4 linked regions of the Drosophila melanogaster genome follow. The protein of the gene in region 4 interacts with the protein of the main gene of each other region in a pairwise test. Each region holds a gene or a part of one and is shown on either strand. Other genes may lie near its edges.

Region 1 (7,813 bases), on a different chromosome or scaffold from region 4:
CTTATTTTGCCCAAAACGAGTCGGAACACAATGGTGGACTGGCAGATGCCTCTAGCTTGCAGGCCATCCAGGTGATCATCGCTGAAAAGGCCCAGCTCAATGCGGAGCTGACCAAGGTTCGCCTGGCTTGCCGGGAGCGTGAGCTAGAGCTGGAGGAGCTTCGCATCCTCAAGGATCAGAATCAATTGCGTCTGGAGCAGCTACAACAGCACTGCCAGGATCAACAGTCGACCGGTGAGCAGCAGCGACAGCAGTACGCGCAACTCCAGGCACAACTGCTACAATCGCAGGCACAAATCAAGGACCAACAGTCGCATCTCAACGAACTAGAGGCCCAGCTAAAGCAGAGCAACCAGCATCAAGAGGAACTGCAGCAACAGCTTTCCCAAAAATCGAACGAACTCGAGATGGCGCAGCTGAAGCTGCGGCAGCTCTCAGACGAGTCTAGCGTCACCACAGACAACCGAGTGGAGTCGCTGGTGCAAACACAATACATGTACGAGCAACAGATACGCGACCTCCAAGCGATGGTGGGTCAACTAACGCAGGACAAGGAGCAGGCAGCTGGTCAGTATCAAAACTATGTGCAGCATCAGAGTGGCGAGATCGCCAAGCTCAACGAACGAAACACAGAACTCTCAGAGGTACTGAACTCACTGAGGGAGCGAGAACGCCAGCTTGTGGAGCACGTGGGCGCCCTGGAGCGGGATATACAAAAGAACATCAGCCTGCAGGCCCAATTTAAAGAGGCCAGTCAAGTGCAGCCATCCAAGGAAGAAACCAGCGAGCAGGTAAGTAAGCCAAAAAAATATGGAAAACCTGTTTAATCTCCTAGTTCAATTTCAGAAAGCCTTAAAAGATGAACTGGCTGTCTTGAAAGAGCAGATCGAAAACTTCGAGTTTGAGCGCCACGAATTCCAGCTGAAGATCAAGTCGCAGGACGATCAGCTGCAGTTAAAGAACTCGGCTTTAGACGAGTTGGAAAAGCAACTCGAACGCTTGCAAGCTGAGCAGCCCGATCAGTCCAAGCTGTTGGCCACCATGGAGTCAGACAAAGTGGCCGCATCGCGTGCCCTAACCCAGAATGTAGAGATGAAAAACCAGTTGGACGAACTGCAGCAGCGATTTGTTCAGTTGACAAACGACAAAGCCGAGCTGGTCATCCGCTTGGATTCAGAAGAGTTTGCCAACCGAGAAATCCGCCAGAACTACAACAGCATGGAGCAAAAGCTTCAAGCAAATGAGGAGCGCTTTAAGTTCAAGGATGAGGAAATGATTAGACTATCGCACGAGAACGTGGAACTACAACGTCAGCAGTTAATGTTGCAACAGCAGCTGGACCGTCTCAGGCATTATGAGGTGGGTTGGACTGGGATTAAAATTTAACTGACTTTATATCCCATTATCATTTCTTTCAGGCAAAAGCTTATCACGCCGGTGAGGAAACCGAAAAAGAGAATGGAGCAGATGCACCGGAAAACGAAGCAGAGGAAGCGAAGGAAGTTGGTCTTTTGCATAATCATTCGCACGATCACTCTCATCAGCATTCCGACGGTCATTGTCATGATAATGACCACGATCATTCCCATGAACATAACCATCATAATGCTGGTGATCATGGTCATCCACATGATCATCCGCACGATCACACACATGATCATTCACATAGCCATCCACACGATCATCAGCATGATCATCCACATGATCACGGCCAGAACCACGCCCACAGACAAGCAGCTGAAACGCTGCCCACCGCCGAGGCCGTGGAACGCTTGCAATCGCGTTTCACCACACTGATCAGCCAGGTCGCCGACTTGACGGAGGAGAAGCACAGCCTGGAGCATCTGGTGCTCCAGCTGCAGAGCGAAACCGAAACGATTGGCGAGTACATTGCCCTCTATCAAACGCAGAGGCGCATGCTAAAGCAGCGTGAGTACGAGAAGGCCGCCCAAATGCGTCTCTTGCAAGCGGAGCGAGAGCAGCTGCGCGAGAAGATTGAGGCACTAAACAAGCTGGTGGTCAGTTTGGGCGTGGAGCTACCCGCAGATGCCGCCCAGGCAAAGCAACCAGAAGCGGCCGCAGGTAGCGAACACACTCCTGGCGAAGGTGAAAACTCGCAACAGATCATCAACAAGATACAGGACATTATCAGCGAGATCAAGGAGAACACGGAGCAGCCAAGCCACAACCATGCAGGAGACCATCTCAACTGTTGTATGGGCAAGTTCGAGGTAGTCTAAAAGAAGTGCAATTATCGCCTACCTACGTATAATCATTACCCTTTTGCTACTGTATTTAATTGTAATTGTAATTGTACTTTGTTCTTCAGAGTCTTTTGTAAATGTTTCCAACAACTTTGTGCGAATAAACGTAGTTTGCATCTAAGAGGAATCTATAAAATGAGTTCCCCTAAAAGCGTATTAACAAATAATTAATTGAAACGTTGTTTTATTCACAAATGAACATGTAAAAATTAGACGTACTTTTAAATTCCTATTGGCATCTTTGGGTGATGATGATGATGGAGTGTCTTCCTTCCGATAGCGCTGGATGAACTGAATATGCCCTCTATTGCAGGCAAAAAGTAATCCGATGTCAGCTTTTAGTCTATAAATTAAACTTATCAGGGCCTGACGATTTAAAAATATTATTCATATTAAAAATGGTAAAAAGTGGTATTGAAAACCAATGAAATTACAGAAACAACATTAAAGCCTATTAAAAAATTCGTCTATCTACTTTTTGGCCTTGGCCTTGCCTTTCGAGCCATTGCGCAACTTGTTCTTCAGACTTGGCTCCACCAAACTGGTGGGCCTGCAGCTTCTACTCGGCCTTGCGCTGTTGTTGCAGAAAGAACTAGACATATCCGTATTTTCTGATTTCTTATTAGCCGCAGTTCGGCTTCTAGTTCTTATAGATGGCATTTCCTCGACGAGAAAGGATTTCGGAGTGCTGGTGCTTCCGGCCATTTTGCCTATCCCATTGAACAGGCTTCTTCGCGGCGTTAATCCGTTGACATCAGGAAATATTCCAGACGATTGACTAGGCCTGGTGACTGCCAGTCGTGGGCACTGTATGCTTGGCTCCTGTGGAGAATCTTCCACAGCTACGGAAATAGCCAACCATGATCCCTTCCCAGTCTCTTTTCCCCGACTGAGGGACACTGCTACAGGGATATTGGTGTCCACTTCCCGCAGAGCCCGTCCACTGGGCGTGACGGTGACTTGGGCGTTTGGCGGACTACTTTCAAACGTTGTGTCGCAATAGATGGCCTCGCATGATGATGACGAGTCTGTGGACTCCCCTTCACTGCCATTTTCCTCTATAATGCTAAACAGACGATTGTTCTCTTCATTTTGCTCAGTCTGTGTCTCCTCCACGGGGCTTACTGCTTCGTCGAAATCATCGTCCGAGTCGTCCTCATCAAACACTAATTCCGCTGGTCTTCGTGGCGGTGGTGTAGGCTGTACTCAAGCCGATAATGAATCGTTAAGAAAAGCATAATCAAATTTAAGTATAAGTTACCTTGTTGGCTCTTCTATCCTCTGGTATCCTAGTGGTCACCACCTCGGACTGCACTTCTGCGCTGGAGCGGCGACTAGTGGACGATACAGTACTGGTCACTGAGGAAGATCTTCTTGGCGAGATTGGTCTGGTGGTGCGGGCCAACGCACACGTCCGTCGCATGTCCTTGCAGATTTCCCTGGAGCTGCGACGCGGGCCGCTTGGTCTGTTTATCTGAGCTGCGGGAGCGGGCTCCTGACGCACTGCCAGGGAATCGGAGTCCACGTTCAGGCTCAGCATCAGGCTGCGTACGATACTGATGTTCTCCATGCGCTGGCGATGGTTTTGCAGGACGTGCTCCTCCCGAATGTCCATGATCTCTCGCTCCAAAGATATCACCCGCTTCCTGTACTCGCCGATCTCCAAGCGCTGCTTCTGCACTTGGTCCATTAGCTCCGCATTCAGCAGCTTGTACTGCTGCTCCACTTTGGATCCCATTTGCTTCTTCTGATCTACTTATTCCATACACAAAATCCAGACAGACGACGCCAATAGCTTGTTTTGAATTTTGAAATAGAGTGACCGTTGTTGTGCTATTGGAATATACCCCAGCTTAAGGAAAACTTTTTGAAAGTATGGCAACGCCGACCATGCTCTTAATTAAAATGAAATTCTTTAATTTTGGGCCATATATATAAGAAACAATACAATCCGATGTGAATATATTTTATTTTAATAATTATAAATTTGTTTGTCTCATTTGCACGACAAGAATTAGGAACCGTTGAGTTGGTGCGAATTTGATCGTACATGCGTTACCAAGGGTAATTTTCCATTTAAATTCTACACGTATGCCAAAATGCTAAAATTTCGCTTAGTGGAAGCTGTGTATATTGCGGGACACCGATTTCGATAGGCACAAACCATCGAGAGACATCGATACGTCTATGTTTCTCTTACACCTCTAAGCTGCACAATAAATTTATTGTTTTCTCGACCGATTGCGAAGAAAATCTGGATATCCGTGGTAGATAAACAATGCTGCAGCGCTAGAACCCGGAAATCGAAGTGAATACGCGTTTCGGGAGGTTGTAGATACACCTTGCAGAACGCGAAAATCGCACTGAATCAGAAGTCAGCCCACCTGGCAGTGTGTGCGTGCGTGTACGTGAGTGAGAGTGTGCTGTCGCAGTGTGCGTGTGTTTGTGTAAAAATGAAAATCAGTCGGATTTGTATCGTCGTTGTACGTCTTTTAGGCATTTAGCCAGGCTTTTACACATTTCTACAATTCTTACCAACAGTGGGAGGGACTTTCCCCCCGCACTCACAGGACACGATACACATCACATGCAACACCTGTGCACTCGAAAAACGATAGACGGATCTAGCGCGCGGATTAACTTAACTTAGGAACACGGATACGGATTATACACCATAGTTTCGGAAAAATACATTAGGGAACCGCTTGCTATGCTGTTTCATCTCCGCCAGAGAATCACGACAATCACCTGCTGAAACACCGAAGACAGCCAGCAGCCCAGAGAACCGAGAATTTCATTCACAGAAGCTACGACCGCAGTCGAAAACCGAAACCCGCTTCAAGGTGAGTCTGTTTGTAAATCCAACTCGTTTGGCTTTGTACCCATTTAGTCGATTGAGTGCATCACTCAGCACTCAGAATCCGAAGTGGTACGGACTTATCGAGCGACCTTATCAATTCTATTTCGCACGGTGCCCAGAAATTTGGTAATTTATGGCAAGTTCAGGAACCTCTTCGGTACCAGTTCCATGTAGGCAATTATCTTATCGCGCCCTCCGACAATTTCGCCACGATATTTGCGACTAATGGTTGTGTGTATGTAAAATTGCATTTTCCAAGATATGGGGCTATATCTTATAGCCTCGAGGTACACAATAAACAAACACATACCAGCGTTAGTAGGCAGCTGTATTTAGACTTTTTATAATATTTATTCATATGTCCATATTCCAGATTAATCACCATTATTTGCATATATTCTAAGTATAGCCGACAGTCCATGTCTTGCCCGATTTGATTTAATATTTGAGCTTGCATGAAATTTATTTTTTCCTGTGTCGGAGAACACGAAAAGCCTTTTCCACCGTCTAACCGGCTAAAAGGGGTGCAATAAACTCGGGTCGCTTTGATTTTCTCCTGTTCCGTCAGCGAATGCACTTTGTTTTGGTTTGTTGTCGCTTTGTCTTAATCACATTAAGCAAAACGCCCGGGCACGCGACGCATGACGACACCAAGTGTTGCAACACCAGCGAAGACCCATGGAGCATGTGGCCACCCATGCCACCCCATAACTGACCTACAAAGAGTGCATTGCTCGACGGCCGACGAAAACTAAATTCGCTGACTAGGGGTTGATTCATTCGCTTGGCTCCCTTCAGCGATGTGAGTGCGAATTGTGGCGGTTGAACTTCGATGGTATGACATAATCTGGGCTCTTACTATAGCCATTTGAAGAGGCATACAATCGCAATCTTTACATTAGATTTATTACTTGTAGAGTTAGTCACAAGTTTTAGCTTAAGCGTGCAACTTCTGGTGTCGTGGTACCGGTGTCCGGGTTCCAGTTGTCCAGCACTCCCATTAGCTGAGCAACGAATATCTGATAGTCGAGGAACGTCTTGTTTATATTCTCATTTCTAAAATGCTTTACTACTCTGCGATGGTGGAAAACAGATATCAAAACATTGAAATACAAGACTATAGAAGTTGTTATAAGTAATTTCTTTTCTCTGTACCGAAAATAACCCTCGTGGCCAATTTAGTGCGCTCTTTAAACCATCCACAAGTGTGAATGGGCTTCGAGCTCCTTTCCGTAATGCTATGCATGGCACAAAGGGTCGTCCCAGTCGCCGGGTTCAATGTCATTGGCGTGGCGTAGGCCATGGCAGCGGTGGGCACATGGCACCGACCCATCCCAACGTCCCATTCCATGGCATCCCGTCCAGGAGTCTGCCTGCTGCCGGTCTATTGTCGAGGCTGTTGTGCATGCCCCACTGCAAGTACACACAGAAATATCGAGTGCTGCTGCAGTGACACACGCAAAGACTGGTGATTGAAGGGAGGGTGGAGGTGAAGGTGTGTGGGGCACGGGGTGTGGATATGGGGTTTTATGGCCACGGGGAGTGGGCACTTGTCGGCCTTGTGTGCGGCCATTTGTCAGTCGAATTGGCTGTCGTGCATTTTTCGAGCACTGCATCACACGAGGTCTGATTGGCACGTAGTAGAGAGAGAGAGTCGGTCGTTTCTGTCAGCCTTTATGACGCTGAATTATGCTGCACTTCCTTGTGCAACCTGGAACTGAATCATAAAACTACAGTGAGCTCTCCAGCACACCGATTTCTGACTACAGTTTCGAGCCCCATGCCGAGGGCTTTCGCTTCCTCGGTGCCCCGGTGACTCATAGTTTGTGTTTGACTTGTGTTCACATCACATTTGCAGTTGCACTGCGAACACTCCTCTCTCTCAATGTGCTTTAAGCATGAAAGTAATTTTTTTGAAAGTGATTCAATGTTCAAAGAGGAAGACCAACTTCCCATTTCGAATCTTATCCGACTAAAAAATGAATTGGCACATGAGGATGTTTAGCTGAGTATTTATTTCTTAGGCACTTAGAATGACCGGGTTGTTGTTTCTAAGAGCTGTTAGTGGCTCTTTTTTTCCATGTGTAGTGTATGCAAACTAGCGAACCCAACACCGTTGTTGTCATTGAGTTCATCGTTGTCTCGTCTCGACTCTCATGATGTGTTTACATTAGTTATTTAAGCATTGTGCGACGGTGCTGAAAACCGCATTTTAATAGACCCGCCGGCAACAACGGGCTTAGCAACTGAAACAGCCACATCAAGTGCAACAATGCAATATTTATCTGTAAGCAAATATGGGCCTTACATCACACACGCGCAGCAAGCGCTGATGAGGTAGCCGATGTGGCAAAGGCAGAAGCTTCAATTACAAAATGCAAAATGCAAATGCAAAATGATGCATGGTGAAACGCTTAGATCAGAAGTAACACGAAACGCAGTGTTTAGGCTCATAAAAGGCCATTCAATGCGGTGTATTCACTCATATGTGGGATATATACTCGCAAATGAATCAATACAAGGTTTTTAAGGAAGGTTGGGAGTAACCTTTGGGAATAACAATAAAGATGTCAAGCTATTATAGTTTTTGAAAATCATCTTATTTTGTATCTAGCGTTTAATATGACTAATATTACAATAAACCAGTTCTGGCGCTATTGCTGATCAGAGAGGTTGAGGCTCAACGGCT
Region 2 (7,291 bases), 8.2 Mb from region 4:
TCGCCGGACTTGGAGCTGGAGCAGGCGCAAGTGCTGGAGCAGATGATGATCTACCAAAGACTGGAGCAGCAGCTGCGCAAGAACAGCGGCGATGCCACCAATTACAGCAGCTCGAGCAGCATCACACTGAAGCGCAGCAATTCCGGCAGCGACAAGCAGGAGAGGAGCGACCATCCGGATGACGACAACAGCGACAGCGACGAGAGCGGCTACGTGGAGTTCCAGGAGAAGGAGCGACCGGGTCAGCAGCCGCTGATCAGCGAGGCAAGCGTTACGCTGGCCAAGATTGCGACCGTCAAGCCGCAGGTACCACCAAAGCCGGCTCCACGTCGCTCGCTCAGTCTCAACGCGGTGGCCACCGGCGCCTCAGCGGGCTCATCCGCTGGTAAGGCTCCGGGCACCGCTGTCTGAGCGAAATGCTTTAATTACAACGGAAACCCGTCTACAAATTGTTATTTCTGCACACCCGTCAGCGACCATAGCAAAACACAAAGTGCAAGAAATTGAAATCCTAGTTGTAGATTAGCTATTAGCACCTAGTCGTTAAGTCATTTGTTGTTGGTTCATCGAGAGGAAAACCTAACGATATTCGCCCATCCCCCATTTTCCATCCCATCATCTAAATCTGTGCCCCTTGATCCAAAAATAATGAATTTATATTGTACGCATTTGTAAATAAATTAGTCGCCCTACGCACTGCATGTACTATATACATTTACACGATTGTCATTGATGAACTGTATCTTACTTATCAATATAAATTATTATCTGAACGGTGTGTGTGCTGCACAGAGGAAAGTGTGAACAATAACAATTGGTTAAATTATATATATATGATATCAAAATTTGATTTATGTTACATTTAGAACGAATTATAGCCCTAAAATAGAAAGAACCTAAACCAATTTTGTACTGTTTGTTCTCTGTGACCTTATTGATTCGCTTGTGATTATATCGATTCCATTCCCCCAGAGGACAGGCATTCTTGTGCGTTTATGAATTTTAATTTCATTCCAAACTTGAGGCAATTACATTGGACATTTAGCAGATCTATCTACTGGCAGATTGTGCTGCTGCTGGGCAGCAAGTTTTGTTGACGCAACATATAACAAACCGTGCCGCGGAAATCGCGCAGCGAATGGTCCTGCAGCTGCTGATCGAAGACCTGTTGCATGTGGAAACGAATACGAATGTGAATAAGAAAACCAGTTGAGTGCATTCGATTACGGCGACGATTGATCGCGGCTACTCATACTTACGCCATTGTAGACGATGGTGGGAATGAAGCTCGGGCTGTACTGTTTGGTCACCAGCTCCGCCTGCAGCTGCAATTTGGTGCCCGTCTCGCTGGACAGGCAGTGGACCACATCGGTGAGCAGGCCTGCCTCATTGGCACACTGCGTATGGAATGGTAAAGGTATATATAATGGGTACAATGCACACAATGGGCGTTAATCAGTTGGGCAAACACAGCACAACGAGTACGCGGAAGGTAGATTACCTGATCAATGCGGGAATAATCCGGAGCTAGCATCTGGCACACCACGAATTTAACCTGCGCCGCCTGGTTTGCGGTGCTGTTGATGACGCAACTCTGGAGGCGATTGCCCTTGCACTCAGCCGGTCCGTGCTGGCAGTGGAAGATGGCACCATTGCGCTCCGACTGCGATTTTCCGAAGGGCACTAAGAGTATATCAATGTAGTCCCCGAACTCCTCGTAAACGGGTCCTAGCTGATGCATGAAGTTCCTGCTGTCCGGGCACAAGGACTCGTAAAGGAGGGTGATGTGCAGCTAAAAAAGGAATTATTCAGTCGAAAGATAAAAATCATATGATGCCTTTCACCTTAACTATTAATTAGGCTTCGCATTATACCAGTAATTATTCATTTTGGGCTACTGAATAATTCTAGAATCTAGATTCAGATAAATTTACATAAAGAAAGTAGTGTTTTCTTAATCATATTACTAGTTCTAGCCGAATTTAAATAGTATAGAGAACACAGCTTAAAAGAATTTGTTCACTTAATGTAAACAAAAAAGCCAAAGGCGTTGGATTGCAATCAAACCTTGTTGGACTGGCGCTTCTCCCGTGGCTTCTCCTCGAGCTTCGCCCATCCGAGGGACAGAACGAGAAGCAGAAGGCTTGCGGTGGACGCCAACTTCGTCATCTTGTGACTAGTAATTTGAGCTTTGGTTAGCCAAATCGATCGACCTTCGACGAAGTGCGGGAATGAAGGCTTCTGTGTCCGCAGCGAATGCCAAGCCCAAGCTAACGCGACCGTCGGACTCGATTTTAGTTGAGCAACTGAGCGCCGCCGTTTTGTCACATTCGGTGCTTAATTTTGGCTAGCAGCGAACTGGGAACGGGCAGAGCTGTTTTACCACCTCTCATCGACGTTCTCGCAGGCAAGCCGGTTTCTTGACTCAGCCTGATTTCGATTTAAAAAGCTTAACTAAGCATTCATACATTTAACGGATTCGCAATACGATAATTAACACTTTTGGCTTAGTGCAAATATTGGGAAGAAGTTACTATGAAGGCTAATAAACTTTTTATTACTTGTCAATAACTATGCTATTATATTTATTGTATTATATTTATGTACTTCTTTGTTAGATAAGCATAATTTAAAGATACAGTATCTCACCTGTTTCATATTCAACTTAAGCTGCTCCTTGATTTCCTGGCATATATTTTCAAGTACCGAGTAATATGTGAAAGTCTGCCATATCAGAAGAGACAGCATAAAGGATAGTATTATATTCACACTTAGTCTGTTCATGTCTGCAATAAATATACCAACTAGTAACTACGTTTTCCATATCAAACTAATTTGCATGGCCAATTTCACGGAAGCGTTTAAAATACAATTATTTGCTTTATTTGAGTCTAAACGGTGTAGCGCGAACTATTTAAATGCAATCGATTGGCGACTGTGGCTACAGTTATCGATAGATTTTACTTTTAAAAACCGTGACTCAATGAATCTAAATTATCAACTATGAATTATAATGAATTACTATTTTCAATTTCTTGTTATTTTATTAACAACATAACTTTGCTTACCTTTCATTTATAAATACCGTGATCGAAAATTGGAGTCACTAAAGTCACGGCAGAAAAGTTCATCTCTATTAAGCCAAAGCCAAACAAAGAAGCACACAAAAGTTTATACCATAGTTTATTGTTTACCAAAAATATGACCTGTAGTTAAACAGCAGTTAAGCAATGGAGGACCTGTGTCGAATTTGTGGCGGGGCCTCGGAAAACATGCTGGGCATTTTCGACGATCAGGTGGAAGAATATGTTGATGGAGCCAAGCTCGCTGAGATGGTGAAGACATGTGCCGACGTGCAGTTGGATCCCGACGACGCTATGCCCCAAAAAATGTGCATTTCCTGTGTCCACGATGCACGAACTGCTTACGGATTCAAGCGAAGATGCGAAGAGAACTACAAGAAGTTCTATTTGGCGATATTAAATGGGCAGGTCATCAAGGACGAGCCCAACGAGGAGGATTTCCTATTCATTGAGAACCCAGACAAAGGCAATCTGGAAGCAAAGAAGAAACTCAACAAGGAAATTAAAAAGACACATCAAACAGCTTCCAGAACAACCAAGTCTTCCATAACAACCAGTAGAGCTGGCAGACAGCTAAGGAGTATAAAGAATCAGACTTTCAAATGCGAACTATGCATCAAACAGTTCAAGCGCCAAATAAACCTCCTGGACCACATGAAGTAATTACAATCAATACATATGATTTCACCTGTTCTTAAAATTGTATATCTCATTCCACAGGGTTCACAGCAATTCACACGTATGCCAAAACTGCGAAGAGCGTTTTCTGTTCAAGGCCGATCTGGATAACCACCAATGTTATCGCAATAGCAATTCCACCGTCGAGTGCCCGGAATGCTTAAAGGTCTTTTCAAGCACCCAGAGCCTGGACAGCCACAAATGCAAGGATATGCAGGAGCGTTCGCCCTTTCAGTGCCCCCACTGTCAGCAGGCCTTTACTCGCGAACAAAACCTCAAGGCGCACCTGTTGATCCACGCGGAATCGAAACAGGGAAACGGACCCCACAAATGTTCATACTGCCAAACGGGATTCTTCAACAAGTCGGCCCTCAAGGTGCACATCCATGCGCACATGGGCGAACGGCCGCATGCCTGTCCCTTCTGCGTGTCCAACTTCCGTTCCAAGCAGGCCCTTAAGGTCCACATCCGCATACACACGGGCGAGAAGCCCTACCAATGCCCCCACTGCCCCAAGACTTTTTCGGACAACAATAACCTGGCGAAGCACCGACGACGCCACTCGGATGAACGGCCCTACAAGTGTTCCATCTGCCTGCAGGACTTCCGGGAGAAACATCATCTGAAGCGGCACTTTCTGGGCAAGCATCGGGATGGAGATCAAAAGCTAAAGCTAAAGTGATACCTTAAATTCTTGACCAAATACCACGGCTTACTCGAATAAATAAATTAGGATTCGGTTATGTTTATATCTCATTGTTTCTATAGTTCATATTGGGATTTAATTGAATTTAGGATTTATATTTTCGTAGAATTCGAACAGCACTTTGAAAACCATTTGGAGTGGCAACACCGTTTTTCTGTAAATCAAAATTCGATGTAGACACGACGATATAGACAGCGTTGCCATTCGGCCGTGATTTGTTCACGTGGCACCACCATTTTGATAAACAAGCTAAACAACCCTTAAATCGCTCGAAAAGAGCAATGGAAAAAAACAACAAGTTGTATGTTTATAAATTATAAGTCTTACAAATTGTAATTGTGGTTTCCGTTTGCTTAGAACATCAAAGCAGCTACCAACACACAAAAAATACCGAATATTTCTCGACGTAATTTTCCCTAGACGTCCTTACAATTCGTCGTGTTCGCTTTGATCTTTGTCTTGCTTAGATTCATCATCCTTCTCCTCATCGTCATCATCCTCGTCCTCATCGTCCTTGTCGGAAGCCTTTTTCGCCTCCTCCTCGTCCTTCTTGCGCTGCACCTCATCCTGGGCCTCCTTCATTTTCTTCTCGCCCGCCTGGGTGTTCTTGACTTCGGCAGCAGCCTTAGCGGCCAGCTCCACGTCGTCCGTGATCAGGACGTTGTCGAAGATAGTGCCGGACTTGACCTGCCAGAGATCGAAGCCCAGGGTGCAGATCTCCTTGCGCAGATACAGCTTGTCGTCGGGCACATACTCGGGATTGGCGATCTCGGGATGCTCCCAGGCGCCCTTGTAGTTGGGGTTGTCCAGCTGCTTTGGCTGCCACTCGCCCTTGAACTCAGGGTTGTCGATCATCGGTGGCTCCCACTCGCCGTCCATCTCATCGTCCCAATCCTCAGGCTTTGTGGCATCTGGGTCGGGAATGTGCTCTGGTTTGTCCCAGTCCTCGGGCTTCTTGTCATCGGGATCGGGAATGGTGGCCTACAGAGATTTACGTTGTTGTTTAATAACAATGAGCCAAACCGGTTTTTCGATGGGCTAAAGTCTGATTTGGGCGGGGATTTACAACTTACCCTATCGTCCCAGTCTTCGGGCTTGGTGGCGGTGGGATCCTTGATCTTCTTGGGGGCCAGGAAGTCCCAGTCGTCCTCCAGGTTGCCAGACTCCACCTTCTCGTTGTCGATGAGCACCTCGTACGTGTTGTCGGGTCTGACAATCAGCGTGTAGAAGTGGGTGTACACGTCATCTTTGCAGCGGATGTCTTTGCTGATTAGGTGGTTCTTGCCCTTGTAGCTGAAGATCACATGGACCTTCTTGGTGCCGGGTCCGCAGATGTCCGGGCCGAACATGATCTCGTACGGCGACTCGCCGTGCATGTCGGTCTGGTCGAGGGAGCAGTCGAACAGCTTCACATAGCCGCCGCCGCAGTCGATATTCTGCTCGTGCTTCACGGAGAACTGCACCACGAGGGGCTTGTCCTCGTTGGAGAAGCCATCAAACTTGCGGCTGGCCGCGTAGAATCGAGCATCCTGAGAGGTCTGAATGCCTATATAATGTGTGTCCACATCAATACGAATGCGCGCCGCGCGGAGGTGGGGGGCGAGAAAAAATGTGTATACAGTTACTATAGCTACTCGAAAACGTACACGTAGTGGTTTTTCTTCTTCTTCCTCTTCTTCTTCGTGCCCATGTTCTCCGCATACACGGGCACATACAAATGCAGATAACACGCCGACGAAAAATAAAAATGGCAGAACGAGCGAAGAGAAAGATTTGGAAAAGGGAGTGACGACACATCGACACATATACGCTACCTTTGTCGGCCTCAGCATCGTTGTAGAAGGTACCGGGGGTGAGGACGAATTTTCCGAACTCCTTGCCAGGATGTTTGCTGTAGATCCACGTATCCTCCCAGTTTTCTACGGGAACAAGCGGGGGAGTGCTTTTATTATTCTTCTATTTTTATTGTCTCTCCTTTCGTTATTCATTGAAGGGGAGCGGAGGACCACATGGCGGCCATAGAACGCGATGACTACCACTTACCGTTGTCGAAATTCTCCTTCAGATAAACCTCGGCACTAATAAAGCCGACTGTCGCCAGCAACACTATCACTGTTTTGCACCACATCATGTGAACGATCCCGCACCACTTTTTGGACTGACTCTTCCAACTCCGATGGTTGTCCGAACTCGGTTAAAGTTAAGTACTAAATGCCGGCAAGAAAGTGCTATTTATTTATTGCATCTAAATCGTGCGTGTCGGAGCGGGACGGCTTGTTACTGAAATTGGTTTGCTGGAACGTTTTCATTGGCCCAAATCAGGCCAATCAGGGATGTCTACGTATTCTTTTTCACCGGCCAGGGCTGATTTCGATAAGCAATCGCATGCTGCCCTGTCGCTATCGATTGCTTGAGCTGGAATTAGAAACACTAAAGTGACCGTTTGCTAATTAAATTAAATTATAAAATATATAAAATTAATATATTCTGGCATACAATTAATCACTTGCAGCAGGCTAAGCTAAGAAAACATAAAATTACTCCAATAACAATTCTTCTACTACTTAACAATTGTAGTAGTTACAGGAAGAACAGTTGTGCTTCCAGAACATTCCTAAGCTTTTTAACGGCTTAAGGGTTTTGAAAATTTTAACTCACACTTACATCACATGTTAACAATTAAGTTTTCACCCGATAAAGTTCATAGTATTTAAAAAGTTAGAATGTTAATTATACATTATAATACAAATCAAAAACAAATAAAGGAATTCCAAAACTTTGCACCTGTATTTCGTTAATTTTAGGAACTTTTTTATCTATAAGT
Region 3 (7,756 bases), on a different chromosome or scaffold from region 4:
GCGCCCAATGAATCCCTACTCACCGTGGACGGACTGTCCAATGCCTCCTGCGCTAGTGTCTTCCTTATGCGCTACTATTTTGGAATGGCCGCCTGCGCTTGGTATTAGATTATAATATATACTTAATATTATAGAAACTATATTCCCATATCCTATTTGTAGGTGGGCTGTGCTCTGTTTGGGCTGGCACCGCGACATTCGTCGGCACAGTCCGGACTCCAAGGGCCATGTGGTCATTCCCTCGAACTTTGGAGGCAGTCCGGCGAAGAGGAACAGTGCCAAGACGGCTCAGCAGGATCTAACGCAAAACAACTTTGTGTGCTTCGTGGCCTGGGGATTGCCGGCCTTTCAAACGTCAGCAGTGATCGTTGCCCGTTTCGTGGATGCTGACGAGTTGCTTGGTGAGATATGCTATAGATCCGCCGGAGAATTCGGAGAGTAACCCAACCATACGCTCTTCTAGGCGCCTGTTTCGTAGGCAATCAGTCGGATAAGGCGCTACAGATATTGGTGGCTACGCCCGTTTTTTGCTACTGGATCTTTGGCTCGATGAATCTGATCTCCGGCTATTTGGTACACTGTCGCACCAAGGAGATCCTGAGGAATAGCAATGCACTCAGCGTGCAACAGCAACTGCAACAGCTAAGCGCACACAGTAGTTCCGGCATTGGCATATTCCTTTTCATCTATGGACTTGCATGTGCCATGCTTCTGTTGGCTGTCATTTACGAGTTTGCCAACATCGATGTCTGGCTGGGATCGGGTGATACCAATACGCCACTTTGGCCATTTTTGTTGCGCGCCTTCATGGAACTGATGCTGGGCATTTGCTGTTTTGCCTGGGTACTTGGACCAAGCATTTCCACTCTCTACAAGAGGCAAGTCAGCAATGGCAAAATGGTGAAGCATACGTCTGCCGGAGCAGCAACTGGACACCTGGACGGGCATAGTAGCTCGCGTGGATCGCATGCGGCTTGCAATAGCACGGTGGTCTCCTACCATTCGGTGCGAACTTCTATGGCCAGTGTTCCGTTGCCGCCAAGTCCGTACAAACTGAAGACTTCGCCTGGTACCGGCTCTATATCGCTGAATCAGATGTCCAACTATTCGCTGGGCAGGAGCGTGCATCACCAGCAGCGCCATTCGCCGCATCATCATCATCACCAGCAGCAGCAGCATCATCAGTTCCATCCCCACCACAATCACCAGCATCACTCCACATCCTCGCATCGGCTGTATTATCCGCCAGGTAGCTATGCCTCGCAAAAGTACAGCCAGCACGGCAGCTACTATCCCCACTTGCAGCAGTATGGCAATGAGACGCTACTCTAGACGGAATTGGATTAGGTACCATTTCAGGGCAGGAAATGCTTCCTGCTTCCAGTCAATGTTCCTGCAGCAGCTGCTGTGCCAAAGTCAATCCTCTACTATAACTTAATGCGGTTTCGGGTATCGAAAGAGGCAAAGCAACTTAAATGGGTGGGGAAACGGTCCAATTTGTTTGTCATAAAACGATCGTGAGATAACGATATCGTTATTTCGATTTTAGTTGCTTTGCCTGTCCATAGAACACAATGGGGTAAACCGATCTATGTACTGTGTATATAACCCCGGAAATGTGCTCTTAGTGCTTTAGTTTGGGCCTTTATCGCGAGGTCATAGGTCATCTACAATGTATTTGTAATTGCCCTAGATGGGCTTCATATCCTATTTTCCTGTGTGTACTTAATGTTGCTCCTAATTAGTTGCCCCTTGCGTTGCCTTTTTACCATTTTGGTGTAACCAAATTCAATAATCGCTCTTGCCTTTTAGACATTAGGACTTAATGTGTGTCGCCTTTGCGTACATAACACATATATACATATATATATTTAGCATTTTTATATAAATTCTTTTTTTTTGAGTTAGAGAGAGAGAGAAACGCGCAGCAACCAAATACTGTGATACGCATGTTCATGTCTTCAAAAACAAAAAAATAAAAATGGGAACCAGAAACTAGGTTTCCAACTTTGCTGTCTTCTCCCGATGCCGAAACAAGTGTACTTAACAATCGAAAAAAAAAAACGCAATTGCAATCGTAGCCGTAATGCCTAATTGTATTCAGTGTGCCATTAGCTTTAGGGACTTAACTGAAACGAGTCAATATCATGAAATTACCTTAAAAGAGTCCTTTTCCAGCAACGAACTTTGGCGGAATTACTGAGGGTTTTCCTTCAACTTCTGCTGATTTTCGCACAGAAAAAGTCCTACTTCTAAATGTCCAACTAACTAGCTAAGAAACTAACTAACCTTTATACAATTGCGGGCTAATACGAATCGTATGGAGCCCGCGACTAACAGTATATGTATTGTATTGTATTGTATTTTATATGTGTATTTTTTTTATTATCATATATGTATATGTATAACTTATTTGCTAGCGAATAAAGTGTCGAAAAGTTAATATCTGTTTTGATTCATTTCGTTTCGCATGGTTTTTACCAAGTAAAAGAGTCTCCAAGTGTCGCCAGTACTCCATGAGCATTTTGTTTCGCCTTCCTGCCAAGAAAATCGCCACCTTGCACAACCCACCTGGCAAGTGGGTGGCCCAGTGGGCGCCTACTGCCGTGTGGGTGGCAAGGTCGCCTCGCTGCGTGTTGGTTCGCATAGGACGATGGTTTCGTTGCGATTGTTGTTGCCGCTGCTGTTGTTGTTGCTGCTACTGGTCGTGGTCGACATGGCCCGCGGGTGCCAATTGTCAAGGTCCTCGTCGCCGTGCTCCTTGGCCCTGTGGTAGTTCTCCAATTCGCTGGCATACTTGCTGCTGGTGATACCAAGCAGGTGGGCCAGCCCACCGCCCACATAGTCGATGCCGGCCAGGAATCGGTTGCCCATCCTGCTGGCCTTGTAACGCAGGCGTGGTCCCAGCGGCATTTCGCTCTAAAAGGTGGCAAAAAAAAAAAAAGCGGGCTAAATGAGTCACGCTAAATGGTCAATGAGGAGGGGGGCGGGGGGTGGCAGCTGCTTATCTTTTTCGTGGCCCTGGGCCCTGTTTGTTTACTTAAACAGCTCAAAACACACATTTTCATTGAAAGATATAAAATTTCTCACATTATTATCATAATTCGCTTCGAACATTAGTCACGTCTCGAGCTCAAAGTGAAAAGTTATTATCTGGATCAGGAGAACTGGGCTAATCTTGAGCAAATTTAACTAACTGTGTTAATCCGGACAATCCCGCTTTAAAAAAGGTAAACAAGCAATGCAGCTACATGACCATGTACTAAATGGATGGCCGGAAGTGCATTACTCCACCCATAATCCTTGCTGAATGTATGTACCTCGTTTAAATGGACGTCGTAGCATTTGTCGCCCATTTCCGCATCCGCCTCGTCCTCGCTGCCCGAGGACAACTCCTCCATGACGCCGTCGCTAAAGTACAGCATGCGCTTGTTGGACTGCAGTTCAAGGGCGCTCACATTGTCCGTCTCGGATGCACTTGCTCCACTCGCAGATGCCAGTTCCAATCCTCCAGCTGCACTGCGTACTTCGCCACTCTTGTTCCTCTCCGCTGACATGGCTATGGATAGCTCTAAACCCGATTAAGTACCGCCTCGATTGATTGACGCTGCGCGAATGTTTTTGCTTGCGCTTGAGCTTCGTTTGAATCGCAGCCGCCGTTTTGGTCATGAAAAAAGCGGACGCGGGTCAACGCCAAATGCGTATACGGCCGGCTGGGGGCCAAAATGTCCTTGGGTTGGGGGCCACCGGCGAAACGACTCACAAACGGCGAGAATCGCGTGCCATGGGGCGCTTGGCGCAGTTAGGTGCAAAGCAAATCGATAAACTAAAAGCCGCTTTCAAACAGCAAAAAAAAAAGTCGAAACAAAACAAAGGTGCGGCAGTGTGACCAGCTGATGGTTTTTGCAAGCTAACTGGATATTAATTTAGATGTATTGTAATAAAAATGAAATTGCAGTCGTATATATCGTAAATGTTTTTGTTTATAAAAATAATTAATAATATAATAAAAAAATTAAGTTGTGCGTGCACATCCTGTGCTTATAATTTAAATAATATAACAATAAAAAATATTATATTATTAAATAATTAAGTTTAATGGTTTCCTACTCTGTACAATTGACTGGTGCAATGGTTATTAACTTAGCAATATATTCAAAAACTAAAATGGTTATCTAGTGTTCCATATTTAACCATCGCTTGCAATGCATCGCGTTTTAAAGCTCTGGTCACACCAAACAGCTGTTTTGTTTGCTTCGTTTAATTCGTTCTTTTTGCAACAAATTGCATCCCAATCTTCCAAAGCAGGTATCCAAACATGGAGTCCCCAACCTCGCACCTGGTGGCCAAGGGTGAGTGGAAAAAGCGGCAGCCGTCAATGGAATCGGGGTCATAAATTCCCAATTAGATTTCCAGGTGACGGGTGTTTCGCGCAGCGGACGCGTACGCAAAAAATCGTCGAAATTGTTGGATTTTGAATCTCCGGATGAGATCGAGAAGCGCACAAGGCGTCACAGTGGCGCCAGACAGCCAGCCAGATATTCGGGCCGCGGCAGGCCATCGAATGCGCTGCGTGATCTGGATCTTGACCAGGAGATGCTCGTGGATGATGGCATTATCTCGGATAGCGAGGAATTCCATCCGGATACAACGGCAACGGTCGTGGCCATTCTGAATTCCGACGATGAACTGGACAATCTGGTGCAGGATATCGTCGATGGTGTCCAGGCGGAGGCCACCAGCCAAGAGTCATCCGTCCGTCAGAGTCTTTACATGCGCGAGAAGTCCAACAAGCGGCAGGTGCTCAAGGACGGCAAGGTGGTGAGTGCCAAGGTGCAGCGCAAGGACAAGGGCAAGCAGCGCTACACCGCCTACAGTCTGTGGGCCAAGGAGGCGCGACAGAAGGATCTCCAGGATCTAGGTAGGTTGCTACACATCTGTGCGCTCTCTATCGCTTATTGACCATTCCCCGCACGCTTGCAGACTTCACCAGCGCGACCAGACGCCTCAGCGAGCTGTGGGCGAACGTTTCCAATCGGGACAAGAACACCTGGCGGCGCAAGGCCAAAATCGAGGCGTCCAGGGCCAAAACTCGCGACAAAACCGCTGCAAACGGTGCAACCCAGCCGGCGAGCAACGGCAGCACGGCTCTGGCAGATGCCACGCAGCACGAGACGATCTTTCAGAACCGTGCGACAACAAGTCGCACTCGAAAACTGGCCGCCGATCGGCAGCAATCCTCAATAGAAGCGGCTGCCGCAGCGGCGGCAGCAGCAGCGACTGGCACCAACACACAGCGGCGCAGCATCAGCACACGAAGTGCCAGGTCGCAGGTCTCGAAGAGCGCGACGAAACAAGCGCAAGTGCACACGGATGCGGACGTCAGCGGCCGGACTGGGGGTCAGCTGAAGCAGGAGGAGGTGCAAAAGACCAGCATCGAAGTGATCGATGCGGCCGCACATCTGAAGCTGCTCGGCGAGAGCCTGACTGTGATTGGCGAGCGACTGAAGAAGCACAATGGATACGTGGCGCTATCGGGCAGCTTGTCCGTGCTCCTCGACAGCCTGCTCTGCGCCATGGGACCGCTGCTCTGCATGACCACGCAAATACCCGGCATGGAGAACAATGTGCAGTTGAGCAAAAATCTGGCCGACACGCTCGACAACATCGCCTACGTAATGCCCGGACTATGAAGTAAATTCCGGATTGCAACTGCAAATGCATACATATATATATATATATAATCATACCAGGCCGCTGCGCTTCCAGCGGCGACTAGAGTCGCCATCGGGATCTGTATGTTTGTAAGGAGTTGGCCAACCTGGAAATAGTTAATCGCATTAGATATGCCTAGTTGATAAACTGAAGCATCTAGATCGTAAGTAAAAGGTCTCCCTCTAATTGAGTTTTTTTTTTATTTGCTTCTTGAATTGAAATTCGTACGCTAAAAAGTTTAGTAGTTCACTTATTTATTTCCACTTTTTGTTTTTTGCAACATTTAAGCACAAATCATCGAAACATTGGTAGAATTAGGCAACATTAAATATCCTATAATCCTTAAGTGAAATAAATGTGAATCACAAGATTCTTATTTCAGCTTCAAATTAAGCAGGCACTTTTTATAATAAACGTAATAAATAAAGATAAATATAAAAGCTAAAAATATGAGATGATTTCTTCCTCTGCCCAAAAATCTTTATAAAAGTGAAATATTTTTAAAAATGATCTCAAATAAGCCATAATTGAAGGTTCGAATAGTGGAACTATAAGCTAGATATAAACTTTAAATATTTATAAATACGTTAATTATTTGCTTACTTTCTAGAGATGGCACTTCGCTGGTGCGCCATCGATGACTTGGCTTGCCGTTACAACGGCGAGCTATCGATGTTACATCGCCGCCCTGCCCACCACTAGCCAGTCCGCGGAAAGTAAATAAGAAGACGGACGCCAAATCGAATCTTCCCACATCCCCGGATGCAGTGCAGCAAGCTCTGGGTCCCTGAGAATCCTGCGTGGGCCTGGGATTCCGAATCCTCTTCCGCCCCGGATCCGCACGTCAGCGCGGCATCCGCATCCGCCACCGCTTCCGCCCACGCACAGCATCCGCAGCCACATCCGCGGCAGCAAAAAAACGGTGAGTTTTCCACCTGCATTTTTTTTTGGATTTTCCGGGGGGGGGGGGGGCAGCAGCTGTGATTGGGATGGAAAATACTTGTGTAGGTGGACGGTCAGGTTGTAGGGGCGAATTGCGTGACGGCAGCGCTACAAATTGGATTAGTGCGGCGATTGATTCTGAATGGGAGATGTAAACAATCTTCCTGTGCACTGAGAAAAATAACATGGTAAAGCAAGGCACAAAAAAAGATGGAAAGATTGGTTGAATAAGATAAAATAGGTTTAAGACTAAGCTGAAATATCATTAGCCAAAAAACATGAATGTGAAATGAATTACTTTAAAGGATTCTTAAGCACAATTTGTTTAGAAAATAAATTCGATTCAGTAACTGTTAAATTCAAAGCTTAAAAAGAAATGGAATACCTTGCGATTTGCAGTCCAGACATTTTCTCGCAGTGCACTAGCTCCCCGCCCGCTGTTTTGTAATTGGCAATATAAGGAATGCCCGAGGTATCTATTTTTATACCGCTTAGCATAGTCGTTATGGTGATAAATTCCGAAGGGGGGGTGGGGGGTTTGTTCGTTATGCTTTTCAACCCCGTGACCTCCCACCGCGCCCAATGGGGCATACTTTTGGGGGCGCCGGGAACTGGGAGGTGTTTTAATTCCACCATCGTTGGTTTATTGAAAAGTTGTCATAACTCAGAACAGACAAGCCAGCAAAGTTTCGAGTCCTCTCAATTGCGGGCAAATACAGGCAGATCTTAAAACTATAATGTTTCATTAAATTCACGCCGTCATTGAATCGAATATCGTGTTTTCCCGTTGGTAACTATCTAGATATATGAACTAATTTAAAAGGAAAACTCAAGGTTTTTATGTAAAACGAACGCGTGGTTTTTCTAGCAGCTCATTTTCATTTCAATTGAACTTTAAGATGAGCTTAAAACTCGCCTTTCGCATTTCAAATACCAAATAATTGGTAAACATTGCCATTTACACAATCAATCATATTATAACTTCTTCGGGTAATGAGAATGAAAACCTTTTCTTTTGGATTGAAAGTGCAATCGGATTCCGAGAGACGCCATAATCATAATAGTGCGCCCGCGGATGGGCATATGTTCATTTGTACAT
Region 4 (7,549 bases):
CGCGGGAGCACGTCCGAAAGCCCAGAAAGCGGCGACCAAAACCCAAGGTCGATCGCTCGATAAAGCGATACGTGTGCGACCAGTGCGGTTGGTCGTTCAACGATCACAGCAACATGAAGGATCACAAGCTGCGGCACTTCGAGGAGAAGTTTTCATGCGACGAGTGCGGTCGCAAGTTCTACACCATGCCACTGCTCCGATTGCACATTCGAGTCCATCACAAGGGCGAGAAACCGTACGTCTGCAAGTTCTGCGGTATGGGATTCGCCAATAGTCCCAGCCGCTGTCGTCATGAACGGTGAGTGCTGGCCTAATCATCACAAGTCCTTATCTATATAAACCATAAAAACCTTGACAGTCAAATGCATGCCAACGAGCTGGTGCACCCGTGCAAAATATGCGGCAAACGATTCAACAGCGAGAAGGGACGGCTGAAGCACGAGGAGGGGCACAAGAGTGACCAACCGGATGTCCATATGTAAGAATCATTGAAATATACGTAGCCATAGATGTACAAACTCATATTCTTTCACAGCTGCCTCACATGCAACAAGGAGTTCAAGGAGGCGCAGTTTTTGCATCGGCACTACTCCACAAAGTATCACCGCAAGCGGGTCAACTTGCTGGTTAATGGTCCAAAAGAGGAATTCCAGTCTGAAGTCGATCCGGCGGAGTTTCCGGGATATATGGAAGAGGGGCAGGCAGAAATGGAGGACAACCAGGCTGAACTGGACGTAATGTTAGATAACATTGACGAGGAACAATATGAGGACCACGAGGTACTTCAGGATGAGGACGCAAATTTTGAGGACTTCGAGTACGAGGAAGCCATTCCCGATGGAGAGGAGCTGTACACCTAACTTTAAGCACACAAAAAAAATCGACTGTTGGCGCCACACACTCCACACTCCACACGCCACAATGCCAGGGATGCAAACTATCTGACTTTTTCGGTGGTTCAGAGAAATCCTTTGAATCACCAGCCAGCCGTACGATTAGCACCAGTGTGGAAGGAATTCAACGTCGGTCTTAGATTACAATTTGTTATAAAATATATTTTATTCTAATTGCACAGCGCGCTTATTTTAATAAAAATTATATGGAACCAATTTCAAAAACGTCAGGAATTAGCCGAACGTGTGTTTTAGCTTGAACCTCTCTTTTTGGGAAAATTTAACCTCCCGTTTATAATATATAAATTTTAAATTATAAAAACTAGCTCGATGTTCCCTGGTTTCTAGGAAATAAGAACAGTTAGTTTTTCCACACCTATCTGGTAACGCCATGAAACAGGTAATTCATACAAATTTTGCTGCTTAGAGAGAGTAAACAGAAATTCTCGGATTGCGTACGCTCTTTTACCGTTTTTATTCCATAATTGACAACATAAAATCAATTAAACTACAGCTGATTGTTTTGGGAATTCAGCGGGATAAATGATCATATGTTTGAAATGAAAAAGCCTTCGCAATGCCATTTGTGCGCCTCGTGTTTCTGTCACCTGAATCCCACGATAATTTTTTGCCTGGAAGTTCTGGCCAAGATCAAGGATCTCACTGGAATATGGGTATGTTGATGGTTTCTTGTGTGCGTGAATGGCATAACCCATTTACTCCATTTACAGTTAGAACAGAATGAACGCCAGCCGCGTCATATTTGCCCATCTTGTTTAAATGACTTGAACACATCGATTAAGTTAAAGAAGCGCATTCAACGAGTTCACAATGAAGCAACGCTGAGGCGGGAATCTGGGCTTGATGAGGATCTAGAAAGCACTGTATCCGATATAGAGCCAGAAGGGGATTCCAGTGACTTGGAATCGGAGGAATCATATGATTCAGAAAACTATCCATTTGACAAAAAAGCAGAGGAATCCGATATTGATTTAAATCTCGCCCATGAGGATAGGAGAAACGAACCACATAATCCTTATGATTCGGAAACCCCCTTAATATTTAAGCATAAAAATCCATTAATTGAGACTCCTTCATTTGCAAATGAAAACTTGCCTAACAAAGTCGATGCAAAAAGCCCAAAAAAGGGAAACTTTATACAAATTGGAACCGATCTGAGACTACTTACAACGTATCCCTCTATTAAGGTAGTAAAGCCCCTTGCATTAGCTCCAGAAGATGTGGCAGCTGAGAATGTACCCCCTGCAAAAAGGACAGCTCGGAAAATGCAATCCCTGGTGTGCCCTAAGTGCGGAAGGGTCTTTAAGACTCCATACAACCTAAAGACGCATATGGTGCGCCACACGGGTGAGAAGAACTTTCCATGCACGTTCTGCGACAAGCGGTTCGTCACCAAGTATCTGGCTCGTCTACACGAACGAGTGCGCCACATGGGCGAACAGCCGTTTGAGTGCAACTTCTGCTCGGCAACGTTTTTCACAAGTACAGCTAAGTCGAGCCATGAGCGGTAAGTCCTTACTGCAATTGTATTTAACTTTAAAAGCGCTGACATAAACAATTTCCTAACACTATGACAGAATACGGCACATCAGAGATCTGAGGTACCAATGCGACCAGTGCACCAAGAGATTCAATACCAAGACCTGCTTGAATAAGCACAAGTTCCTGCACTCAGGTCTTAAGCCCTTTGAGTAAGTGAAATGATATGAAATTTGCGCATATTTAATACAAGTCGTGTATTTCCCTCTCAGCTGCGTTATTTGCCAAATCAACTTTGCCCGAAAGGCAACGCTAAGGAGTCACTTCGATTCGGTTGCTCACCAGAAAAGAGCCAGCGCCATCCTGGAATCCGAAGAGCATTGATTCGCCAAAGAATTAGAGATCGTTTTTAATTCCGTCTTATAAGATGCGGGATATGTAGATGAAAGCACGACTTGGATAATTCTGAGGCTCAGGATATCTATTAGACATAAATGTTTGAACGTATTCTCACTGTTTTGGCACTGGATTGCCCTTCGTTTGCTATAACTTTTTTGTATTACATTTTTGTCATTTGCTTTTCCTATTATGAAGTAGTTTCTTTAAGAGTGTAATATTTGGACAGCCATTCATTTCGAAATGTTAAATACCTTACTATTTAATTAATCGTTTTCATTTAAAAACAGAAAACTTATGTATAATATATATTTTTAATTCTTTTTTTGAAGTGGTAAATATATTTGGTAATTCCTATTTGCCACGAAAAGCAAATGCTTGGAGTATATTCCATAACGACCCTTGAATAAAAGGCGCCATTTTCAAATTTTGGCGCCACCGCTTGGCAGTCACCCAGAGACGCGGACAACAACAACAGTTCGCTGCGAATGGCCCAAAATGAAGCAGCAGCTGTTAATAAAGCAAGGAATTTTGGCTCGAAAAATAACTCTTAAAAATGACGCCACAATGCCGGTTGTGTGGAGATTTAATATACACGCAAAATCCAGTTAACATATTCGATGAGAACAGCAAAATGGTCAGGCAAATCGCATTGGTCACGGGCCTTTGGGTGAGTGTGTAAATTAAATTGGCAAATTTAAACCGCTAATGCTCGTTTGGTTTTCAAGCTCACCGACCACTCGAAGATGCCCCGGAATATGTGCTCCTGCTGCCTGCTGAGCCTGAAGAGCGCCATTGCCTTCCGGCAAGCCTGCATCAAGACCAACAATCGACTGACAATCCAGCGCCGAAGTGTGGAAGCCAAGGATGACGGATGCTGGGCTGATCCGCTGAGCGATGCGCACGAGGGGCTGAAGATCAACGATGCGGAAGTGGAGCAGGAGGTGTTGTACGAGGTGTCCTATGCGGATAATGAAGGACTGGAGGAAGACCACGACCTGTACAAGAAGGAGGAGGAAGAAAGCGAGGTTAATGAGAACAAGGAATTTGAAGATATTGCCTGCGAAATACCCTTCAGTAAGGAGGATGATGAGCAAGAGCAACAGCAGGAGTATGAGGATATGGTGGATAAAAAGACAGGACATGATGATGGCGAGGAGTCACAGGAATGTGAGGAGTCACAGCCAGATGAGGAGGAAAGTCAGCAAAATGAGGAGGACGAAGAGGAGTCACAGGAAGACGACGACGAGCTTTGGCAGAACGAGGACGGCGACAGCGATACAGATGCTGATTCTATGTCAGATATAGAAGCCACATCGCGTCAATCGGCCCTTGACGAAGATAAGAAGCCTCGTCGAAAATACACCAAGAGATCATCTCCCAAAAACGACGACACCGACTTTCTCAAACCTGCGAAGAAAAAACGAAAAACATACATAAGCCAAAAGGTCCACATCTGTGACCATTGCGGCAAGAAATTCACCGACAAGGGCAACTTTAATCTGCACGTGCTGCGCCACTCGGGCGTCAAGCCCTTCGAGTGTCCTGAGTGCGGACAAAAGGAGTTCAACAGGTACATCCTGAACATTCACATTCGGGTGAAGCACCGCGGAGAGAAGCCATACGCTTGCCAGTTCTGCGACGAGCGTTTTGTGCACAGTACTATGCGATCGCGCCACGAAAAGTGAGTCTATAGCATACCTTAAATCCCCTAAATTGCACCTACGAACACTGCCATTCTTTCAGCCGGGTACACCGGAACAAGAAAACACCAAAGAACTTCAAGTGCAACTATTGCGACAAGCGATACGAGTCGAACTACCAGAGGGCCAAGCACGAGGTGGTCCACACCGGCGAGCGTAACTTCCAGTAAGATCTTGTGAAGATATATGGCTAGATTTTTCTTTCTCCTAACATATTCCTTTAAGTATCAATCATCTTATTATTCCCACTTTGTAACTCTTTACTTCCTAATATCCACTACATCCAGCAATCAAGTTAACTATTTCCTGCTTGAAAAGTTACTTTTTCAAATGTTTAACTTTGTTTTTATCTACTTTCCCCTTAGCTGTGAGGTCTGCAAAGTGTCCTTTACACGGAACTCGAACTTGAAGACCCACTACCGCTCCAGGCAGCATCAAAATAAGCTGATCGCAATGAGTGCTAAGTCCGAAATTGATTCCAAAAATAAATAAGGTACAAATGTTTTGTTGTTAAGTGTTGTCATCCGTTTAGAGGTCTAATGTTCTTATCTGTTAAAATTATAATAATTTAGTATAAAAGTATTTCTAAGAAGTTAATAAGATGAAATATCATAAGATATCTGACTGTGATTTGGGTGTATCGATCAGTTTTGAAAGTGGATCTTTCATCCTCTTAAATATTTAACGTTTATTACAACAAATCCACAGTTCAAATCGGAAGAACTAATTCCTTGTAGTTCACTTTAAAATGTGCCATTCACACAAAACAATGATAAACTAGATTATTCTGTAAACAGAAGTCCAACTTTGTTTACTTGGCGGAAACTAAACAATTGAGTTGAAACTGCAAAAAGGATGACCACGCTGTGCCGCACCTGTGGCCAGGAGGCGGAGCACGCCAAGTCACTTTTCGATAAGGAGGCCAGAGATGTCCTGAGCAACATCCTCAAGCTGACGGGCTTTTGGGTAGGTGACTATTCCCGGTAACCACGGAGTCATTCCCTCTTCGATTCCAGTTGAGGAACCAGCCAGGTGTGCCAACGAGGATCTGCTTATCCTGCTTGCTGGATCTGAACGATGCCATCGCATTCCGGGAGCGCTGCATCAGGACCAATTCGTCTTGGTTCGAAAAGCAGGGCAAACAAGAGGATTCGGACACTGAGACTGCAAGGGAAGGCGGGAATAACAGGTTAGAAAGTAGGGTGGATGTTATGCCCATTAGTATTGCACAGCCGCAAAGGAGAAGGATTCTACCACAACGCAGCAAGAAAGTGGATGGAGTGCCTCTTAAGACAGTAGAAACCCCAATTTACCCTTTAGTTGTCCCGGAAATACCGCCTGCCGATCTCGTCGATCCTCTCCGGTGCGAGGATCCTATTCAGGTGAAGAGCGAGCCTCAGCTTTCATCTGATTATCCAGTGGAGTCCATGAATCACGAAGAGCCAGCATCCGAAATGCCCCAAGTCATGAAGGAAGAGCCCAGAACACTACAAGTCATCGGGGAAGTACAGAAAAACCGAAGAAAACCGAGGAGCAAAGGGTGCTTAGAGGAGTGTCCTGGCAAGGACATGGCTAAAATAGAGAATATTGACTCAACTACCAATAAGACCAAAGAGGAAAAGTATGCCACACGAAACAAATGGGGAGCTGCCAAAAGAGCCTATGCACTGGAGCACCGACTATATTTCTGCGACCAATGCGGCAAAACTTTTAGCGAGAAGGGCAACTTCAATGTGCACCTCAGACGGCACAAGGGCACCAAGGAGTTCCAGTGCCAGGAGTGCGACCGCATGGAGTTCACCCAACACCTGCTCAATTTGCACGTGCGGATTAAGCATCGCGGGGAGCTGCCCTACGTGTGCAAGTACTGCGGCAAGCGATTTGACAACTGCCTCAAGCGGCTGAACCACGAGCGCAACCACAAGGAGAGTCCCGTCCACCGACCACACGTGTGCTCCACATGCCAGAAGGCCTTCAAGACTTCGACGGCTCTCAAGGACCACATCGTGGTCCACACGGGGGAACAGCCATTCCAGTGAGTTACGGTCAAACAGACACTGTTTGGATCTTTACTTAATACATTTTCTTTAGCTGCGAGCTCTGCCAAACGTTCTTCAATAGAAGGAACGCCCTGGCCACCCACTACAAGTCGAAGCACCATCGCCTGAAAGTTGAGGAGCAGTCAAAAATGCCAAAAATGGATGCTACTGTCCAAGCGGATGGGTAAATCGTTGGTTCCTTGAGAGGATTATTTCGCATGTTCTGCTATTGACATGCAAAATGCCCCTCTGGAAACTTTCTAAAGTTGATGTCAATAAAAATTGGTTACAAATTGCTCCCTCATCCAAGCTGAGTAACGGGTATCTGATAGTCGAGGACTCGACTATCTTCCCTTGTTTCCTAATAAGATATGGCATAGCAGTAAATTGTGGTTTTGCTAACATCAATAATTTTCAATAAAGAATATAATTAAAATAATGAATTGGGCTATTCTCAACAAGTGCTTAAAGTAAACAAAAAGCTTAAAGCCATATGCACCGTACTAAAATCGCTACGCCCGTGAAAAGTGCTCTTGGCTACGCACATGGACACAGCCTGGAGTTCAACCCCTAGTTCAAGGTTATGCAGCCCTGCAAACTGTGCTTGCTGTTTTGCAGAAATTCGCAGTTTGCCGGCAAAGGATGAAGTGCGCAGTTCGCATCTGCGGCAACAGATTCCTCTGCGAGTTCGCCAGTCCAAGCACATCTCGGTGAAAGAAGAAAGCATATTCCGGACTTTCCCAACAGTCCGCGAAACTTTTCATCGACTCAACATTGCCGAAAACGGGAGAGCTCAAATTATTTGCGAATAACTTTCACAGATGAGGTCGTCTAGGACAGCCAGCGATTCAAAATGGGTGTGTCACTCAAACTCTTATTAATATTCTAATCTGGTATATTATGTATACCTTCGTTTTTTTTTTGCATTCAAGGTGCGCCAGTCAAACGACAACAAAGACACAATGCGCTCCTCGCGGCAGGTTAACAAAAAGCTTGTGAAGCTATTCCTGGCGGAGGC

Evidence for each region.
Region 1: the proteins of Nnk (region 4) and mei-S332 interact in a two-hybrid assay, tested with the Drosophila melanogaster proteins (one large-scale study listed by BioGRID).
Region 2: the proteins of Nnk (region 4) and CG8319 interact in a two-hybrid assay, tested with the Drosophila melanogaster proteins (one large-scale study listed by BioGRID).
Region 3: the proteins of Nnk (region 4) and CG4617 interact in a two-hybrid assay, tested with the Drosophila melanogaster proteins (one large-scale study listed by BioGRID).

The regions. Positions count from the first base shown.
Region 1 is NT_033778.4:22,119,187-22,126,999, reverse strand, and holds mei-S332 (meiotic from via salaria 332), read right to left. Parts: upstream 4,900-7,813; 5' UTR 4,800-4,899; exon of another isoform or gene 4,438-4,799; intron 4,098-4,437; 5' UTR 4,003-4,097; coding exon 3,526-4,002; intron 3,465-3,525; coding exon 2,736-3,464; 3' UTR 2,633-2,735; downstream 1-2,632. Other genes in the region: GM130 (golgi matrix protein 130 kD), read left to right, coding at 1-791, 847-1,359, 1,419-2,240. UniProt on the Drosophila melanogaster protein: Plays a central role in chromosome cohesion during meiosis and mitosis by preventing premature dissociation of cohesin complex from centromeres after prophase, when most of cohesin complex dissociates from chromosomes arms.
Region 2 is NT_033777.3:9,624,168-9,631,458, forward strand, and holds CG8319 (uncharacterized protein), read left to right. Parts: upstream 1-3,153; 5' UTR 3,154-3,230; coding exon 3,231-3,742; intron 3,743-3,803; coding exon 3,804-4,443; 3' UTR 4,444-4,509; downstream 4,510-7,291. Other genes in the region: CG8312 (uncharacterized protein), read left to right, coding at 1-411; CG9427 (uncharacterized protein), read right to left, coding at 1,055-1,165, 1,260-1,397, 1,502-1,792, 2,068-2,169; Calr (calreticulin), read right to left, coding at 4,894-5,448, 5,541-6,013, 6,282-6,386, 6,511-6,598.
Region 3 is NC_004354.4:7,100,957-7,108,712, reverse strand, and holds CG4617 (uncharacterized protein), read left to right. Parts: upstream 1-4,221; 5' UTR 4,222-4,318; coding exon 4,319-4,352; intron 4,353-4,408; coding exon 4,409-4,921; intron 4,922-4,983; coding exon 4,984-5,693; 3' UTR 5,694-5,878; exon of another isoform or gene 5,879-6,003; 3' UTR 6,004-6,158; downstream 6,159-7,756. Other genes in the region: fz4 (frizzled 4), read left to right, coding at 1-101, 163-401, 464-1,332; CG8300 (uncharacterized protein), read right to left, coding at 2,599-2,919, 3,321-3,557.
Region 4 is NT_033777.3:17,800,965-17,808,513, reverse strand, and holds Nnk (nicknack), read left to right. Parts: upstream 1-3,264; 5' UTR 3,265-3,345; coding exon 3,346-3,459; intron 3,460-3,517; coding exon 3,518-4,473; intron 4,474-4,535; coding exon 4,536-4,658; intron 4,659-4,857; coding exon 4,858-4,984; 3' UTR 4,985-5,289; downstream 5,290-7,549. Other genes in the region: Odj (oddjob), read left to right, coding at 1-298, 359-478, 536-860; CG17801 (uncharacterized protein), read left to right, coding at 1,445-1,567, 1,625-2,421, 2,492-2,605, 2,666-2,777; CG17806 (uncharacterized protein), read left to right, coding at 5,348-5,458, 5,509-6,527, 6,584-6,719; CG17803 (uncharacterized protein), read left to right, coding at 7,353-7,388, 7,464-7,549.